Arabidopsis thaliana: one gene and its partner. The gene in region 2 interacts genetically with the main gene of each other region. Each region holds a gene or a part of one and is shown on either strand. Other genes may lie near its edges.

Evidence for each region. A genetic interaction does not mean that the proteins touch.
Region 1: of SUVR2 (region 2) and NRPD1A, changing one enhances a phenotype caused by changing the other (phenotypic enhancement), as found in Arabidopsis thaliana (one study listed by BioGRID).

Annotation. Positions count from the first base shown.
Region 1 is NC_003070.9:23,359,487-23,364,366, reverse strand, and holds the start of NRPD1A (nuclear RNA polymerase D1A), read left to right. Parts: upstream 1-1,879; 5' UTR 1,880-1,930; exon of another isoform or gene 1,931-2,063; intron 2,064-2,174; 5' UTR 2,175-2,219; intron 2,220-3,227; 5' UTR 3,228-3,240; coding exon 3,241-3,324; intron 3,325-3,407; coding exon 3,408-3,528; intron 3,529-3,625; coding exon 3,626-3,747; intron 3,748-3,827; coding exon 3,828-3,866; intron 3,867-3,953; coding exon 3,954-4,172; intron 4,173-4,248; coding exon 4,249-4,401; intron 4,402-4,489; coding exon 4,490-4,585; intron 4,586-4,635; exon of another isoform or gene 4,636-4,665; coding exon 4,666-4,880. UniProt on the Arabidopsis thaliana protein: DNA-dependent RNA polymerase catalyzes the transcription of DNA into RNA using the four ribonucleoside triphosphates as substrates. Largest and catalytic component of RNA polymerase IV which mediates 24-nt short-interfering RNAs (siRNA) accumulation.
Region 2 is NC_003076.8:17,695,890-17,702,577, forward strand, and holds SUVR2 (SET-domain containing protein lysine methyltransferase family protein), read left to right. Parts: upstream 1-1,952; 5' UTR 1,953-2,205; intron 2,206-2,554; 5' UTR 2,555-2,564; coding exon 2,565-2,816; intron 2,817-2,926; coding exon 2,927-2,983; exon of another isoform or gene 2,984-3,038; coding exon of another isoform or gene 3,039-3,071; coding exon 3,072-3,110; intron 3,111-3,194; coding exon 3,195-3,456; intron 3,457-3,568; coding exon 3,569-4,686; intron 4,687-4,864; coding exon 4,865-5,115; intron 5,116-5,251; coding exon 5,252-5,318; intron 5,319-5,421; coding exon 5,422-5,472; intron 5,473-5,596; coding exon 5,597-5,693; intron 5,694-5,815; coding exon 5,816-5,844; 3' UTR 5,845-6,147; downstream 6,148-6,688. Other genes in the region: PDLP1 (plasmodesmata-located protein 1), read right to left, coding at 1-569; AT5G44000 (Glutathione S-transferase family protein), read right to left, coding at 6,342-6,527, 6,619-6,688. UniProt on the Arabidopsis thaliana protein: Probable inactive histone-lysine methyltransferase that acts as regulator of transctiptional gene silencing independently of histone H3K9 methylation.

The DNA.
Region 1 (4,880 bases), on a different chromosome or scaffold from region 2:
ATTGTTAACTTAACATATAGTAGTAATGAATTAATCGACGAAATTTTTATTCTAAACATGCTTGGATTTGAAAAGCAACTGTTAATTTTTGTTCAATCATAGGTGAAGAAAATTTATTATATCCTTATTTTTAGTAGTCTAGTGTCTAGTCAGGTGATGTGAGCCTACATAATGGGTCATCAAGTTGTCAAACTCAATAATAGTTTTTCTCACAATTTTATTTATTTATTTCTGGCATTATAAATAGTTTTATTAACTAGACTACCCCAAATGTTTACAGTTTATAAGGTTAATAAGAAAATTTACTGGGACATTTTTAAGTCTAGTTTATTCTACTACATGTTTTTCAAAACAAATACTCATTTTGTTTTAATTTAATTATCATTTTAGCACTTAAATTTAATCTCACAATAATTATCGTTTTTAGTTTTTTAATGCAAATGTTTAATAAAAATGTGAGTATTAATGTCTTGACCAATAATTTTTTTAGAAACTATATTGAACAAGGGTAAAGTAGAAAATTTAATTGTTTTTTTTTATTTTCACTGCAAAAAATCTTAAACGACAAATAATTTTAAACAAAACTATTTTAATAACTAACCACTAAACTAACTATATAACTGTTTTACAAACGAAAGCGTGAACTTCACGTAAACAAAAATTCAATTTCACGCCGCCGACAAAAAACCTTAAACGACAACTAATTTTAAATAGAAGGAGTATATTTTAGTAATAATTATATGTTAAACTGTTTTAATAAATAACCACTAAACTAACTATGTAACTGTTTTACAAACGAAAGCGTGAACTTCACGTAAACAAGAATCTAATTTCACGTCGCCGACAAGAAAAACTGATTTCACTTATATATCTTGATTTATTAATGGACATTCACATACTCTCAAATAAGATTCTAGATCTTATAAATTTTAATCTATTTTTGTCTCAATTAATTTAGTTATTTATCACATTTCGCCTCTTATAAAATTATATGATAATTGTCTAAGCAGCTAACTAATTGTAATTGTTTTTCAAACAAAAAATATATTTTAATTACACATAATTTTTTTATCGAACAAAAATATATTTTAACGAAATATAAATGTTTCGAATCAAAGATAACAAATTTATAGCCTCAACTATACGTAAAACAAAATTTTATTTTACATATCATACTTTGATTGATACTAACACAAACTTCACAAATAAATTCGTATAATTATGTAATTTTAGATTATTTAGAGATTATAACTAGTATTTAGAAAAATCGCAAAATCATATAAGAAAAGAAATGGAATTTGTTTTTGGTTCAAATTATATTTTTTTTTCCCGCTATTCATATTATAGTTATGAACCAAAAATCAAGCTAGAAATAAAAACCACTAGGATTTTTTTTTTTTGCTAAGATGAAAATTTAGTTATACACTTATTTTTATTTATTTAAATATTACATTAAACTAATAAAAAGTATTAATTATTCTAATAACTTTTTGTCAGTTTTAAAATTAGGCCAAAAGTAAAAAACTAATACAGCTAATATAATATACTTAAGGAAGGATATTTCAACTTTTTCTTTTCTTCCCAGTTTCAGAGTTTATACAAATAAGGTAAAATTCGCAGAAACAGAAAATCATAAAGTAATTAAAATAATACAACCGAGGAAGTAAAAAGATTTCCAAAAGGTAAAAGGTGTACTCGTAAAGTAGGTAAATAGAGGTACAGGTCAAGGGGTAGTTTCGGTATTTACACTCTTTCTTCTTCTTTTTTTTTTTTTTTTGGTGTCTCACATTCCAAAGTCCCCATTGGACTTAGAGAAGAGTTTTTTTTTCGTTTTCTCTGCTTTCTCACTTTTTCCCGTTTCCTTTGGGAATACAAACGGCGGCTTCTCAAAAGCCTCCGATTTCGATTTTTTTTTCCTCTCTTTTTTTTTGTTCTTTCTTTAGAGTCTCTTCTTCAACTTCTTCTCCGGCATCTTCCGTCGGAGCTAAGGATCAGAAGTTTTTGTCTGTGCACTGTTTCAATTGGATCATTACATAGTGAGGATTCTCTGTTCGACGAAACGAGTAAGTAACTACATTGTTGTTCTTCCTCAATTCTCTTCTGGTTTTTCTTTCGTTTTTTTTTTTAAAACCTTTTTCGGTAATTTTCTTTTTATCTCTTTGAAACAATTTGAGTTCTTTTTTTTTTTGATTGATCACTGTGTCTGATTCCTTATCACGGTTCTTTTGTTTAAATTTGATCGATCGTTGTCTTTGAACTCCGATTTTGTTTCTATGAACTTTGTTTACTTTGGATGATTGTGAAAAGTTAAGTACTTTGGTTTATGCATGTTCTTATGAGAAATCGATTTCTTTCGTTTAGAGATCATCTTAAGGCGGCGAATGTTTTTGCACTAAGGGTTTGTGTGAGTCCTTTAGAAGAACATTTGGAAAATTTGTCCTTTTTTTTTTTTGGTCAGTGAATTTTTTTTTTTTTAATCCATGAATAGTGTATGTTCAAAGATTGAACCTTTTTGTGTGTATGTTCTGCAGTTTTTTTTCTTTCTTCTTTTTCTGAACATGTATTCTCTTATTTTTTTGGGTTCATGCTAGATTCTATTAGTAAATTCAATTTCGAATCTATAACTTGTTTTTGATAGGCCAGTCACAGAGGAAGATTGTGGTAACACTTTTGTCCCTTAACAAAAGTGTCTGTTTCTCTTTGGTCAATTTTTTGATCAGAGAGAGTTTGCTTTGGTTTTTGTGTTCTGGTCAATGAAATGCTAAAGATTGGTTTTTGTTTCATATTCTGCTGCACATTAGATTTGATGATAGAGGGTACAGATAGAAACTGATCTTTTCGACGATTTATCCGTGAGTTTTAGCTCTGTTTTATGTTACAGAAGTAAGTGTTAATTTTCAATAATGTGTGTTCAAAGTTTGAACTATTTTGTGTGTTCGTCAAATATTTTTGAGCTAGAATCTTCTTCCCTGAACATGTTCTCTCTTTTCTTTGGATATATGCTAGATTCTAAGTGGCCACTCACAGAGATAGTTTGTGAAGTTGTCTGTTTCTCAGTGGTTAGTATTGGTCAGAGCGAGTTTTTTGGTTTTGTCTGTCTAAATGCTAAATATTGGTTTTGTTTCATATTCTGCACATTGGAATTGGTCACTAAAACTTGCTTATAAAAACTGATGTTTTTACTTACGTATCTAAATTTTCCTTACTGATGGTTTTTTTTCTTGTAGGAAACTCTTCAACATGGAAGACGATTGTGAGGAGCTTCAGGTTCCCGTGGGAACTCTAACCTCGATAGGTTTTAGCATTTCAAACAACAATGATCGAGTAAGTGTTGTCCTTATTTATTCTTCTTGATTTGTTTATGAGTAGATGGAGCAAATATTTAATGTAATGGTACTTTATTATAGGATAAAATGTCTGTGCTAGAGGTTGAAGCACCGAATCAGGTGACTGATTCTCGGCTAGGATTACCGAATCCGGATTCTGTCTGCAGAACCTGTGGCAGCAAAGATCGAAAAGTTTGCGAAGGTATCATAAAGAATCTGGTTTTGGCAAATATTGTTCCAATCTTTTAGCTCATTTTATGATTAGTTCCCTGAGTTTGCTACTTTTCTCTCTGTTTTAGGGCATTTCGGGGTTATAAACTTCGCGTACTCGATAATAAACCCGTATTTCCTCAAGGAGGTAGCTGCGTTGTTAAACAAAATCTGTCCGGGGTGTAAATACATTCGAAAAAAGCAGTTTCAGGTTCACTAGTCTTTCCAAATCCTTTGTTGGTTTGTGTGTTTTGGAACTACATATACTAATGTCATTTTTGCTTGATATAGATTACCGAAGACCAGCCTGAGAGATGTAGATACTGCACTGTAAGAATATATGATTGCAACTAATTTTCTCAGTTTAAAACTTTGTTCCAACACTAATTTTCGGTTTTTGTTGTTGTTATATATCAGTTGAATACCGGTTATCCTCTAATGAAGTTTAGGGTAACTACTAAAGAAGTCTTCAGGCGATCCGGAATCGTTGTTGAAGTAAACGAAGAGAGTCTGATGAAACTCAAGAAACGGGGAGTGTTAACATTGCCTCCTGACTATTGGAGTTTTTTGCCGCAAGACTCTAATATCGACGAGAGCTGTTTGAAACCAACAAGGCGAATAATAACGCATGCACAGGTATAGAAGAGTGAAATGTACCATCTCCATGACTTCTTACTATATATAGTTTTCTGAAAATTTCACCTTTTTGCAGGTTTATGCTCTGTTATTAGGGATTGATCAGAGGCTCATCAAGAAGGATATCCCTATGTTCAACTCTCTTGGTCTGACATCTTTTCCTGTTACACCAAATGGTTACCGTGTAACCGAAATAGTTCATCAGTTCAACGGAGCTCGGCTAATATTTGTAAGCTAAAAACGCTTGTTTATATAATTTGTTATCATATACTATGGTATTTCTCTTATCTTTTCGAGTTTCTGTCACATTTTTGAAGGATGAACGGACTCGGATCTACAAGAAACTAGTCGGCTTTGAGGGAAACACACTTGAATTGAGTTCTCGTGTGATGGAATGCATGCAATATTCCAGAGTAAGTTAGTGGTTCCTGATAGATTTAAACTCTTCTTTCTGTTCTGTGAAGGTTAGTAGTATTTCTTGTTTTTTGCACAGCTCTTTTCGGAAACTGTGTCTTCGAGTAAAGATTCCGCAAATCCGTACCAGAAGAAGTCTGATACACCAAAACTTTGCGGTCTAAGGTTCATGAAAGACGTGCTGCTCGGTAAAAGAAGTGATCATACATTCCGGACAGTAGTTGTTGGTGATCCGTCCTTGAAGCTCAACGAGATTGGCATACCCGAGAGTATCGCAAAAAGGCTTCAAGTATC
Region 2 (6,688 bases):
GCGTAAAAACCTCCTCCGCCACCACCACCACCGGATGATCCAGTTTTCACGCCGTTCTCCGCCATACCAAACGCCGTCTCCCTTTTCCCGACAAACCCAGGATCGTTAGAATCTTTTTTCCCACAGACACGGAACAACATCTCCGTACCGGAAGTTTGCCGGAATCCTGAACTCTCATACCGGATATAACATCCAGCGAGGTGAACACGAGCCGCCACCACATTACCGTCATCTCTGCCGCCACCGCAGAGTTTAGAAACGAGTTTAGGGATTTTGGAGACGCAATCGTAACACTGAGCGTTTTGGAGATCGCCACGGCACTGAAAAACACCGATCACGGCGGTGGTGTTATCAGTTCCGGAGGTTACGGAAGCGAAAGAGCTTTGTGATGATTGAGAAACTAAAGAAGTGAATAAGTTTTTGAGATTCTGAGAGAAAACACCAGTTGGGTCTGGAGATTTCTGATTTGCACAACCTTTAAAGATCAGATTTTTATAATCATCATCACCGGAGATTGCAAAGAATGGTAAAAAGAACCAGAAGATGAAGAATTGATAGGTGAGTTTCATAATTGAGAAAGACAGAGAGAGATTTTTGTTTCTTGATGTTCAAAATCTTTTTACTAGTTTGTTTCTGTCTAATAAAGTTTGTGTTGTTTTTATGTGTCCGGAAAAAAGAAAGTTTTCCGTTTTTTTTTTGTCTTTTGTTTTGAGGTTTAAAGACAAAAAAATGTAAATAAGAGCAGGTTTTGTAGTATGAAACCATGAAAAATAAAGGAGTATACTTTTCTTTGGATCTTGCTTCAAGGGTAAGATAAAAAAGAAAGAAACTTTGAGACGACAAGTGTTTATTATATAGATTTGGTTTAGGAGATTATGTAATACAGTATCAAAAAAAAATGATTACTGTTTCTTCTTTTTTGTTGTTGAATTTAGTGAATAACCTTTAATGCCATTAAATCTGACTTTATTGTCTGAATTTGGATTTTGTTTTAGGACATTGATGGAAAAACACCTTTTGTGTATATGTATTTTTTGTTTAAGGCACTAAGATATATTTTGATGAGTTTGATTTAAATTGTAGGCTGATACGAGAAGGAAAATAAAATCTTAGACCTTGTTGTAAATGTGAATGATTGATTCGATTTTATTTTGTGTCCAAAACAAAACAAAACATGATCGTTTTGAGTTTACATAATTTCAGAACATAATTGCGTAGTAACTGGAGTAAATAATAATAAACCTGTGTGTTTTTGTAAACTACAAAAGATATTATCACTATGATTATTTTGAGTTAATGATAAGCATGATTGTTTTTGCAGGATTTTGGATTTCACATTCTATATGATATATTTTGAGTTGGTGAGTGTGGAAGATTTGTCAACAACCCTTGATCTCACAAGAACCAAATTGCCTTTGTGTGTTTGGATTATAGCTCTCTTGGAACCTTTGTTGATGTATTTTACCTATGCTTTTGCTTACCTTTTATGGTATTGGGGAATGCCTATCTTTGTTGTATGTTAAAACTTTGTGATCTTAGAATCCTTCTACCTTTGTACTTGTTTTCTCTTGTAGATGAATGAAAACAAGCATTTGCCCAAAAAAAAAAAAAAAAGATTGCTCGGAGAAGTAGAGGTGTTCCCCAATGTTTCAAAATCATTAAGAGTTAAAGACTACAAAAGGAAAGAACTAATACTGTATACTGTAAAAGATATGTGAAACTCTTAATTAAGTATAGATTCCCTATACAATATTAGTGAATAATTTTTATAAAATAAGGTTACCAGAACTGCCTGCATTGGATTTAAATACCGGAGAATTTGAGACATACATAGTTACATACACATGATAGTAGTAAGATCAAAAACAAATCTTAAGAGGTCAATAAGATTCGCTTATTTATTGAGTTTGACCCGACCCAATTAAGCCCGGCCCATTAAGCAGAGAAGAAGAAGAAAGAGAGAGGGTCAACAAAAAGTCACAGTCGAACAAGATACTGAGAAAGAAACGAAATTTCACCTGGCACTGTCCTCGCGTGTACTCTCACGCGCCGACGTAATACTCTGCCGTCGTCACCGACATTGTCTCTACGCCGTTGTCATTTGCTTATTACGGCCAAGATTCTTCACTAAGTAAGTCAAAATCGTGGAATCCTTTCTCTGTACCGAGCTCGCTTTAAACCCTAACCCTCTCGTCTCTGTACTTAGTAAGTTCTTCTAATTTCCGACGAAAGTCTTCTCCTTTTTGAGTCTCATCGTCATCTGAAAACGCTATTAGCTCTCTGGAAGAGAAAAAACAACGTTTTGTTAGAGTTTCTTTGTGCGATTGTGTTTTCTTAAGAGGAAAGGTTTCAACTTTCTTAGGATATTCAATTTCTGAGTCTTTTCTGCTACTTGTGGTTAGTCTTTGCTGCTAGGTAGATGTCTGTAGTCTTGGTTTGTTGTTGATTTGCTTTAGGTCTGTCTTTGCTTATTGTTGTAATGTTTTGAGTTCTGGCCACATTTATTTCCTTACTGAACGGCTCTTCACATCTTGTTTCTTCCGCATTTTGATAGGACGAGGCAAATGAGAAGTTACAACTTGTTTCACGAAAGCAATCCCACAATCAGTTTTAGTTTTGTTGGTGCAGAAACGATGGCACCTAATCTGCATATCAAGAAAGCATTTATGGCTATGAGGGCTATGGGAATAGAGGATGCGCGAGTGAAGCCGGTCTTGAAAAACCTTCTCGCCCTTTACGAGAAAAACTGGGAGTTAATTGCTGAAGACAATTACAGGGTTCTTGCTGATGCTATCTTCGATAGCCATGAAGATCAGGTATCTTTCTTTGTTCTCTCTTTGATCTACTGTTTTTTTTTTTGTAAATCTGTTGTAATCATTGTCTTTGTTATTACCTTGACATTCCATATTGATTTACTTATATAAAGGCTATTCAAGAAAGCGAAGAAAAGAAGGCAGACGAAGTTAAAGAGGATGAAGGCTGTGTATGTTTTTTCCAAACAATCTTCCATTTATTAGTTCAATGTTGCTTTATTATCCATGCTTCACTTTGTTGTTGATCCAATCTTTCAGGCCGCAGAAGTTGACAGAGGAAAGAAAAAGCTCCATGAAGTATGGCAAACTGAATATCTTTGCTGTGTTAGAGTAATGTGTCTTCATGTTCTTGTTTATTCAGTTTCTGTTGTGTAATATCAGTCTATCGAGGATGACGAAGATGTTATGGCTGAGTCTGATCGCCCTTTAAAGAGGCTGCGACGCAGAGGTGAAGGAGGCTCTGCTTTGGCAAGCCCTAGCTTGGGCAGTCCGACTTTAGAGGGACCTTCAATTAATGACGAAGAAAATGCTCCGATCCTATTGCCATATCATCCTGTACCAATTGAAAATGACCATGATGCTGGTGAGCTCATTCTTACAAAAGTCGAGCCCATTACAAATATGCCTCTCAGTTCTATTCCTGGTACTTTTTTGTAAATAGGAGTAACTAAATCTTATTTGCATTGCTCATTTTGTTGTTATGATTGTTGAAGCTACTTTCTCCAAAACTAATGTGTCTTGTACGTTTTCTGTAGATTCAGTAGATAGAGGGGACTCTTCCATGCTTGAGATAGACAAATCAAATGGACATGTGGAAGAGAAGGCTGGTGAAACAGTAAGTACTGCTGATGGTACTACCAATGACATTTCTCCTACAACTGTTGCGAGATTTAGTGATCACAAGCTAGCTGCAACCATAGAAGAACCTCCAGCACTTGAATTAGCTTCTTCTGCTTCAGGCGAGGTGAAGATTAATCTTAGTTTTGCTCCTGCAACTGGAGGATCAAATCCCCATTTACCTTCTATGGAGGAACTACGAAGAGCAATGGAGGAGAAGTGTCTCCGATCATACAAAATACTGGACCCCAACTTTTCTGTGCTTGGTTTTATGAACGACATCTGTAGCTGCTACCTGGACCTGGCAACAAACGGGAGAGATTCAGCTAACCAATTGCCAAAAAACTTGCCGTTTGTCACAACGAACATTGATGCATTGAAGAAATCTGCAGCAAGGATGGCTTATACTTCTCAGGCCAGTAATGATGTTGTTGAAATCTGCAGCAACGAACATATGCGTGATGCTGAAAACGGTGCAGTTGGTGATTCCATGGCTTTGGTAGTTGTTCCTGAATGCCAACTTTCTGCAGATGAGTGGAGATTGATAAGCAGCGTCGGGGACATCAGTCTAGGGAAAGAAACTGTTGAGATTCCCTGGGTGAATGAGGTCAACGACAAAGTTCCTCCAGTTTTCCATTACATAGCCCAAAGTCTTGTGTATCAAGATGCTGCAGTGAAGTTTTCGCTTGGGAATATCAGGGATGACCAATGCTGCTCCTCTTGCTGTGGAGATTGCTTGGCTCCGTCAATGGCATGCAGATGTGCAACTGCTTTTAATGGCTTTGCATACACAGTAGATGGCCTCCTACAGGAAGATTTTCTGGAACAGTGTATCTCTGAGGCCCGTGATCCGCGGAAACAAATGTTACTGTATTGCAAAGAATGTCCTTTAGAGAAAGCCAAAAAAGAAGTAATCCTGGAACCGTGCAAAGGGCATCTAAAGAGAAAGGCCATTAAAGAATGTTGGAGCAAGTGTGGCTGCATGAAGAATTGTGGCAACCGAGTTGTCCAACAGGGCATTCACAACAAGCTGCAGGTACATTCAACTTACCAACCTTTTTAGCCAAGTAGTCCAGGATTTGATAATCTAAACCCATCTCAGTTCTGATAGAATTGAAACTGATTATGATCATTTTAACTTGGACTTAACCAGTGGAGAGATTCTGATGCCTGAATTTTGTTTATGTTCCTTTTTTTTTTTTTTTTTGAATCAGGTGTTTTTCACGCCCAATGGGAGAGGCTGGGGACTCAGAACTCTAGAAAAACTGCCTAAAGGAGCATTTGTCTGTGAGCTTGCTGGAGAGATATTGACCATTCCAGAGTTGTTCCAACGCATCTCTGACAGGCCTACTTCTCCAGTAATATTGGATGCGTACTGGGGTTCTGAAGACATTTCAGGGGATGACAAAGCACTTTCTCTTGAAGGAACGCACTATGGAAATATTTCCAGGTTCATCAATCACAGGTAAAGGGACACTGAAAATGAGTTTGTTATAAAGTTTCATATGACTAGCCTAGATTTAGAACTCATTTGGGAAACTTATATAGTTGGTTTCACTCTCAATTCATTACTTCTAACTGTACTATGTCTATATGTGCAGATGCTTAGATGCAAATTTGATTGAGATCCCAGTTCATGCGGAGACTACTGATTCACACTACTATCATGTATGACACAGTTCCTTGTTTCATTTCTAATCATTTGCTTATAGAAGACTCATCTGTTATGTGGAAACAATAGACCGATTAGCTAATCTGTATTTTTTTCCAGCTTGCATTCTTCACAACAAGAGAGATCGATGCTATGGAGGAACTTACCTGGGTGTGTTAGAAGTTTCTCCACCCACTCTTAACAGATTTGTTTCTTTTAGAAATTTTCACTAGTTCGGGTTCAAGTCCTGTTTTCTTTGTGGTTCTGTTTGAGAAGTTTTGGACTTGACCTGCAGGATTATGGTGTCCCATTCAACCAAGATGTGTTTCCCACGAGTCCGTTCCATTGTCAATGTGGTAGCGACTTCTGCCGAGTCAGGAAGCAGATTAGCAGTGAGTAATCATCACACGATTTCTATTTGATAATCCTTTTCCTATATTTGACTGTTATCTCGGTTTTGAAACATGAGCCCTTCACTATTTTGCAACTAACACGCAATTTGTTGATGCTGCAGAAGGCAAGAATGTGAAGAAGCGAGCATGAGAGAGAGCTTTACATTGGTAGGTTTTGAAGATATGTGGTGGGCGCAAACTCCTTTTTGTTGTGAATGAATTGGCAAAAAAATTCCAATCGAAAAACGCTTTTTGTAAAAAATTCCGACAATGCATATAAGCAAAGTCGCGGTCCATAAAATAGGTAGGTAGCTATCAGGATGAAACTATAATCCTTAGAAACTGATTCACTTTTGTGATATCAAAAACTCGTGTGAATATCTTAATTTTGGTTCTAACGGCTATGGCTTTTGGTTATGACTTATATTGAAAGATCTCTCTATTTATATAAATCGTAGTATCGAAGTGAAGTCTTGAAAGTGATTTCACCTTAAGAAGAACTCCCATGAGAATCACTTGTGGAAGGCTTCTCTCTCTCTATATATATGAGGAATGATAATAGTACAAGATCAAAGCTTATTACATTGTATGATACTTTTGAGTGCTGTTGGATAATCCTATCATTGAGTTATGTACAGTTTTCTACGCTTAAACCGAAAGCTGTGCTTCAATGGCTTTACCTACCAAGTCTCGGTTATGAGGTCTCCAGAGAGAATCTTGATCGCCAGATGAAGAAATGGCCGGTTGAATTCCACTAGCGTTTAGCGGAAACAGCGTCTTGTAGTAGCCATCCATTATAGCCGAAATATCACAAGTAGCCGCAACACCAGGAATCTGTTTCAACAACAACAACAAACACATAATTTGAAACACACTCCCAGATGCAGAATTTATGTCTCAGAGAGAAGCCAGTAAGAAGAGGAACCTGGTAAATCTCGCGCAAATAGCCATAGAGATTTGGGTATTCAACAAGCTTCTTCTTGGTGCATTTGAAT